2 linked regions of the Oryzias latipes genome follow. The protein of the gene in region 1 purifies or fractionates together with the protein of each later gene. This does not show direct contact. Links are inferred from orthologs where the notes say so. Each region holds a gene or a part of one and is shown in the gene's direction. Other genes may lie near its edges.

The links.
Region 2: the proteins of pdcd10 (region 1) and fgfr1op2 purify together in Homo sapiens (affinity purification with mass spectrometry; 3 studies listed by BioGRID and IntAct, counting the BioPlex papers as one, with this or other methods). This does not show direct contact. The link is inferred for Oryzias latipes from reciprocal best matches to the Homo sapiens genes PDCD10 and FGFR1OP2.

The regions. Positions count from the first base shown.
Region 1 is NC_019880.2:9,003,976-9,007,797, reverse strand, and holds part of pdcd10 (programmed cell death protein 10), read left to right. Parts: intron 1-1,108; coding exon 1,109-1,235; intron 1,236-2,185; coding exon 2,186-2,264; intron 2,265-2,337; coding exon 2,338-2,420; intron 2,421-3,822. UniProt on the Homo sapiens protein: Promotes cell proliferation. Modulates apoptotic pathways. Increases mitogen-activated protein kinase activity and STK26 activity. Important for cell migration, and for normal structure and assembly of the Golgi complex.
Region 2 is NC_019881.2:3,910,128-3,914,575, forward strand, and holds the start of fgfr1op2 (FGFR1 oncogene partner 2), read left to right. Parts: upstream 1-1,647; 5' UTR 1,648-1,937; intron 1,938-2,918; 5' UTR 2,919-2,920; coding exon 2,921-3,055; intron 3,056-3,502; coding exon 3,503-3,620; intron 3,621-3,731; coding exon 3,732-3,874; intron 3,875-4,448. Other genes in the region: med21 (mediator of RNA polymerase II transcription subunit 21), read right to left, coding at 386-500, 1,559-1,600. UniProt on the Homo sapiens protein: May be involved in wound healing pathway.

The DNA.
Region 1 (3,822 bases):
TTCTGTAAGATCTGACCTCACCGGTTCTGCTATCGGTACTTGAGAAGTCGTTTTTTTTTTTTTTTTGTGTCCCACAAGATATAAACTAGAGCTGTGACGCTGTGGGATTTATGAGCACTGCGCTGATCAAGCAGCAGGTGCCGCGGTCAACCACCCCCCCCCCCCCCGCCCCCGCCCCCCCACCAGCCGCCGCCGAACACAAAATCCCTCGACGGCTGCGTCGCAAATGAACACGATTCATAATTAAAACGCAGTATTCTTTGTTAACAAATAACAGTGACAACTATCTACTATTTAGCCAATGAACTAACTATATAGGTGTTGTAGAATGTGTATGTGTGTCAGCACGCTGCGGGACTGCGATGGGCTTTAGCCAAATGTTGCAGCATGGGGTCTCTCCCTCCACGTCTGTGGCAGCAAACCCATACCAGTTCCAAACAACAGATGATTTTATTCCTGTCTTGGGATCAAACTTCCCACTCTCACTGGTAGCCATGCTGTGGCTTGCTGTTTCGTCTGTGCTATGATGTTGTTGTTTGTCGCTTGCCATACTGCCGTGTGAAACAAACGCTACGGAAGCTCTGGGGAGCCAAAAATTCACCAAATTGAATACCTGCATTCGGGTTTGAATGACGCATTAATATTGCTGTATTAGTCTTGATGGCACCATCATTCTGTAGTGATTTTAAAGGTAAACCCCTTTGAAATTTTACATTTTCAGCTGTTTTTTTTAACCATTTGCAAGAAAGCAACAGTCATGTTTCTAACATCTATCATTCAAAATTAGTTAGTTGCTTGGACTTTATTTCATAAAACTAGTGACACAGTGGTAACTGTATTGCACACGTTCAGCTGAATGTCCTTAATCCTGAAATGCTTTGATAAGGACACCTTGAATTATAATCAGGAGTTTCCCACAACAGCAGTTCTTTGAAATACAATAGACATCATTTCTGTGCTTCAGATACCCAAAAGGGAAAAAAAAACACCTTTCTTTGTCTTTAAGAGTTCTGAATACATTCCTTCTATGTAAATCTTTTCTGAAGTTCCTCCAGGTATTTATTTAGTAACTTACTGGAAATGTGTGTTCAATTCCCCTTCGCTGCAGAGTTCATGATTGACCGGCCCGAACAGGAGTTCCAGGACCTGAACGAGAAGGCCCGAGCTCTGAAGCACATCCTTAGCAAAATCCCAGATGAGATCAACGACAGAGTACGCTTCCTACAAACTATCAAGTGAGTGCGAGCAGCAGAATGAAAGCTAAAGCAATCAACCCCCCACAATTCCCAGTCTCAGTGGTGATCTGCAGGAGAATCAGAGTGCATGCAGAACCAAATGGTTTTCTCTTTGGACTCCAAATTTGTATCAGTATTGAATAATCCATCTTTAAATTACAGGCACAAGCCTTAGAAAAAAAAACTTCATCTAAAAACACAATTTAATGAAATGTAGAGATTCTAGTGAGGCTTTGGGTCATTGAATCCTCTGGCTCTATTTTGAAAGGCTTTTGTTATATATTTCAAATATATAACAAATATTTGAAATACTTATATATTTCAAATATATATTATATATTTAAAATGTATACTAATACGCTATATAAATAAGACTTTTCTTCTGTAGAAGAAAAGTCGGAAGTGACTCTTATTTATTTTGGGTATTTTTTTTTTTTTATTATTTTTTTTTTGGGTATTGCAAGTTTTAATACTTTTTTTGTAATAACTTTCTGAATTTACATTAAACTCTTTTTTTCATGCCTTTTATATTTTTTTGGCTGCACGGTGGCGCAGTGGTTAGCGCTCTTGCCTCACAGCAAGAAGGCCCCCGGTTCGAGTCCTGGCAGGGGGACCTGAATTTTATAATAATTCACTCTCTAATCATCTTTCAAGGAAACAGTTAGGATATCATACTTTTCTTGGATGATCAAAGGTGGAAGCAAACGTTTAAGGCAAATCCAGGTCTTTCAACAAATTCATAAAAAAATAAAATAAAGGGGAATTTGACCTAATTTATGGCTTTATATTTTTTAATTGTTTGTTGGACAGATATAGTCGTTTAGGGAAATGCGTCATGGAGGTAAAAAAAGATTTGTTTTTGTGAAATTTATGAAATGCATTTAAATACTTCCTTTAAATGCGCTTTTTACTTTTCCTGTATTTAAATCTGTATTAACTGTAATTCACAGAGACATAGCCAGCGCCATCAAAGAGCTCCTGGATACGGTCAACAACGTCATTAAGAAATATCAGTACCAGAACCGCAGGGTAAGTCAGGAACCCCAGAAGACAGCCGGTCAACACAAAAGCTTCGTTTCTAAAGGTTTTTCTTCTCTTCAAGGCTCTGGAGAACCAGAAAAGGGAGTTTGTGAAATACTCCAAGAGTTTCAGCGACACCCTCAAAATATACTTCAAAGACGGAAAGTAAGTGTGAACTTAACACTGACAGACAAGTTCGGGTTATATATGACCCATTTCTTATCTCACAATGAGTCCATCCACGAGTTTGATTGTCAAGCCTTCAGATTTATGAATACACACGAATGTCGGATTACGTTTTAAAAATGGAAGATTTTTTTTAAATCAGGGATATATATTTTAAACAAAGTCTTCATATTTTTGATTTACTAGTTGTAACCTGAAAAAGAAGAGGGAAAAAAAGGACAGACTGTATGATACCATCCCCTGATAGCTCTCAGACTAATTCATTTATTCTTTTTCTGTTTATCACAATTATGATTGTTTCATGTTTGTAGTTTTGATGCTGACCTTTTGCAGCAGATTCACCCCCCGTATTTTTAATTTTTCGTTATTATACAATTATTATTTGTGATTTTACTTTATTACTTAATTTATTTTATTTCCCAACTAATGACTCATCCACGATGAAAGACTCGATTTGATGAAATCGTCCATCGTGATGACTGACTGACATCCCGATCGGTACAACCCTAATTCACTTCTTCAGAAACTACGGCAACAGAAGTTTGATTTTGAAGTGTTGTACTGTCACACTTCGGATTTCTTAGCCTCTAAATGGTTGATAACAGTCTGGAGGAGTTTGTTGGACTTGACCAGATGATGATCAGTGACTCCCCTCACCAGCTAGGTAAGACACGCCAGCTCGTTGCTTAAGAAGCTGGTTTCTCACAGAGTGCTGTCTCCTTCATGCAAAGTGGAGACGTTTTAGAAAGCTTAACAAGAGGCTGGCTAATTGTGGAATGGAAGAGCCACCTCAGGATGTAGGACATGGACTGCAACCATCACATTCTTTGGATTAGGTCAGAGGAAAGGACAGTTTGAAACATGAAGATCCCAGAGTCTGGAGAAAGAAGACAGAGTCCTCGTAGTTTAAGGTTGATTGTAGAGGTTCTTCACTTGCAGGTGGTTTGAGGAGCCATGCCATCTACACGATGTTGTAGAGTTCTTCATACCCCCTTCTACTGATTTTCTTTTTCCCCAGCTGAACCAAACCCTGGATTGGATATTGTTTAGCAAACTCAGCTGATCTAAATTTAACAGACAATCTGAGAAGTTTTGAAAAGAGGAAATGAGAGACGCCACACCCAACCACTGAGAAAACGCCTGGATCAGAGCAACCTGGACTTTAGCACATCCACAGACTGATTGTCTCGCTGCAAATCTGCTTTTCCACCTCATTCATCAAATCGAGTCTTTACTTTTTCTTAAATAACAATTTTTAGATACAAACATTTAGGTTTTTTGTTAGCATTAGGAAACACTAGAAATATCTTAATCTGTGAAAGAAATCTCTACAAGATTTAATAAAAAAGTGATAATGCACACTTTGAAGGCCATAGTCACT
Region 2 (4,448 bases), on another chromosome or scaffold:
CAACCTCGTAATATTCTACTCCGTAACAAAACACACTGTCACAGTGACAAACTTTCTAACAATTTGGGGGATTTCATGTCTAAAGTGGGAAAACATCTTTTCTCAGAGGTTTAAATAGTCCTTAATCTGATGTAATGTTAAGAAACACACATTTTTTAGGTAAGATTTTCAATTACCAATGTGCACCGAATTCAGAGAATGACCCGTCTAGCCCCTGATATCAATCATGTCCCAATATCCAACGGCATCGAAGGCCCACCCCAACGTAAAATGAGGCTGTACTCCGAAAGTGAAAATTCAGAATTGAAACTGTAAACCGAGGACTGAAGGTGAAGAGCAGGCGGCGACCCAGTGGGTCTTTAGAGACAGTCGGCGTCAGACTAACCTTCAGTGGGGTTGGCCGGCTGGTCCTTGTTGATAGCGGTCTGGATGTTGCTGAAGGACGCAGGGGGAGCAAATTGTTGCAAAACACCGATGGCGTTACAAAACTGATCTGCAAGCTGCCCACGCAAAAGCAGAACACACAGTTCAGACCGAGCTGAAGCCGACCTGCACCACACATCCCGAATAGATTCATTTTATGTTTGAAACACAGACAGAAAGGTCAAAACAATCAAGCTTGGATTATAACAAAGCACAGCAGGAAATTCTACTCATTGGAAATGAATGGATATTATATTAAACATTTCATTTTAAAAACATTTTTGGTATAATTGTCTTCCATTATTCTTTATCTGGCTGTATGCAAATATTTCAAGCATTTTCAGCAAGATTTTGGTTTTATTTAAGACGGTTAAAATCTTTCATAGAGAAAAGAGAATTATGAAGTAGTACACTTCTTGTAAGTTAGAATATTTTTAGGTTTTTGCTCCTTCTTCATGTAATCATATGTATTATGCCCTTCAGGCATTTATTTCGAAATGTCATGAAGATTAAGTGTAGGGGTTGGAGTGCCTGAAGTTCAATATTGTCATATGTTATATACATATGTATATCTTTAGTCCATATGCTAGTAAGAAATGTCATCCGGCTGACCTAAACAATAACAGAACGGTTGGCCTGTACCACCACACATCATGATTCCTATAATATTCCAGCTAAATGAGCAAACAAGCTGCTTAGTGCTTTCAGGAGTTTCCTGATAGAGCTACACTAAAGGATGGCTAGCATGCTAAGAACAAATGGGACTCTAACTTTGTTTGACAGCATATTTTGACCGGCAGGATTAGGATAAGTCTCAAAACGAACAATTTATAGGGTAACTTCCTGGTTTGGGTACCTTTTTAAATAATTTCCACTTCCTTTCATGCGTCTTCAACTTTAATTCCAATCTACTTCAGCATTTTGGCAAACAGCTTCAGCAAACACCAAGTAAGTAATGCTATTTATTAAGTTAGCATTAGCATTGTTAGCTGCTGTGATGTTACGCCCTCAGTAAATAAATTAGGAAACAACTTCCATTAAAACCTATATATAATGCACATTTCATATTTAAATGTATATGTGACAGTCTTTCTATATCACAATTTTTGTCAAATATTTAACATTTTTATTTTACCGAGTTGACAGCATCTTGTAGTTGCGTTAGCCGGTCCGCCATATTTACCTGTATTTGACAAAAGTCCGTCGTCAACTATCGCGAGAGCATTGACAAAATCTCGCAGAAATTGACGTCATTTCGGAAGACAAGATAGCTAAAGAAAGTTAGCCCGTCAACAACCTTAAACCTGTTATTTTAGACTTGAATACCATAGAGACTTTTGCGAAATTCATTTTTTGTACTTTAGTATATTTTTTTATGTCTTAAAGAAACAAAGTTTAAGTTTAACGTATAATCCGATATTCGTGTTAGCATAAGCATGATGTTGCTATTCTGAGCTACAACATAAAATATCAGGAAGAAGATCTATTTTCTGGTTGCACTTTGAACTCTTCAGGTAAGACCACTTCAGTGTTAAATTAAGACACCTTTACATGCTTTGGTACACTGTTTATGAGGTACGTTTGTATGTTTTGTTGGAAAATTTGTCAGGATTTAGAGAGCAGCTTCGTTAGTTGTAACTACTTTACTACTACGTAAGCAAAGACATAATTAGCTGTTTGTTTCTGCTTGCTTAATTTTTTTGTCATAAGAAAGTATATTTCATGATCATAAATCTCCTGCAGTTCGACATCCTCTTTTTTCCCCTTTTAAACTGTGACACATTCGTTAACATCCTGCTTTAGTGGGTGAGCAGGAGGGTCATACCCGGTAAAGTTACATTGTTTGGTGGTGGCAGTGTGATGGTATGGGGCAGCATCTCCTGCTCGTTATTACTGGAGGAAATCTTGATGTAGAAGTTATACATCGAATTCTGCTAAAATAAATATTTAGTGTGTTTTTAAACCTGAATTACCCAAACACGACATTGGCAAAATTAGATGCTTAGCAGCGAATGTTCAACCAGTCATGATGGGTGCATTTCATAAACGGAGCTACGTATTCCCTTAAACTCTAAACAAAGATTTAAGATAAGTATTGTAACTAAAAAGTAATCTGCTTAAAACCAATTTCCCTGCTTTTTGTACTGTTTACATCACTTTCTATCATTTAACTTTCCATCTTAAATCTGTAAGACGCTGAGTATCTTAACGCTAATGTGTAAGTAAATGAAAAATGCAGGGATCTACTACTCTTTACTTCCAGATGTTCATTACTCACCACAGTAATTAGGTTTTTATCTCACTAAAACTGAACAAACAGAAAGCAAAAGAGTAAAACAGTTTTATGAAGGAAATTGCCCAATTTGTTATATTACTTACAGACTTGAACTCGATGTTTTTTTTCTTCTTAAGTTTTCACATTTCTTTAAAACCAGATTGATATTTTCTAAAAAATGTCCTGCTCATCGATTTTACTTTAATGTTTTCCCCTTTAGACATGAACTGTACGTTAGAGAAAGTCCTGGCAGATGCTAAGTCCTTGGTAGAAAGGCTCCGTAACCATGACAACGTAGCCGAGATGTTAATCGAACAGACAACATCTCTCAACAAGAGGGTAGAAGCCATGAAACAGGTAAGATTCTGCTTGGATTTTGATGTTTTATTTTATTTTATTTTAAATATTTTCCTCATGAGCCGACTGACGTCCTGCCCAGGATGAACCGTGCCTCCGTCCAACAGCTGCAGGGATAGGCTCCAGCAACCCTGAGACCCCAAAAGGGATACAAGAAAATGGATGAATAGATTGATTTTCCTCCTGAAAGCAAAGTTAACTGTACTAAAGCTTTTTGACCACTGGGGGGCAGCATCCTTTTTAGAAAAGTGTGATGTAAATTTTCTCTTTTTTGTTTTATTTCTGCTGTGAGAAACTAGAGAGCTTAGTGCCTGATCAAATCATGAGTTAGATTGAAGGAAACATTTATTTTAAAGTCAATATATTAAACTAATATTGAAACAGAAAAACAAAAAAGTATTTCTTTCTCTGTTAAACCAGATGTGAAGTATCATTCTGTGTTTGCAGTACCAGGAGGAGATTGATGGACTAAACCAGGTCGCACGACATCGGCCTCGTTCCAGTCTGGTGTTAGGAATCCAGCAGGAGAACCGTCAGATCCGAGAGCTGCAGCAGGAAAACAAAGGTGGCTGTTTGTCCGTTGGTTTGTCGGGAAGTGTCTGTGGCTCAGAACCTTTTATTTGTTCTTCCACTTTACCTTGATAAAGCACCAAACCAGTGAGTGTTTGTCATGCAGAGCTACGAACATCTTTAGAGGAGCATCAGTCTGCGTTGGAACTCATCATGACCAAATACAGGGAGCAGGTTTTTAGGCTCCTCATGGCCAGCAAGAGGGACGACCCCACCATCGTCACCCAGCTGAAGGAGCAGCACACAACGGTGAGAGGAAGGAGCGCCCTGCTCCTTTGATGAAGCAGGTCAAAGGTTATCAGCAATATGCCCAAAAAAACAAAATCTCCCATTTTTTGGCACCAAATTTGATTCCTTATTTGAACCCAAAAGGACATAAATCCAACAAAAACCGTTTCATTTTAACGTCTCCTTAGGAAGATGGCCTAAATTTAGAAGGGCAACTAAATCCAAGCTGTGAAAATGTTTGTAGATCAGTGCGGCAGGTGTTTTGCCGTTAGCCTGAAGAGAAACATCTTCTCGCACTCGACAGCTTCAGGCGTTGAATGTTGTTAGCAACAGCCTTCAAACTGGTTTTGCACACATGGGGTTTGATGCCTGAAGTCCCAAAACTAAACCAGTTTCATAGACCTGAAGAAACGGTTTCTGTTTTGGGAACAAGCTAGTTAACATTTTAACGAGAAACGGGGGCAAAAGCTGAACTTTACCCCGGACAGCGGAAGCCAAAGTGAGCAGGATGCTGAGAAAATTCAGAATCCAGGTTTATTCCCCCCAAAAAAATCTTTTTAAACCCCAAATTTAAGGTAATACGTTTATTGCCCAG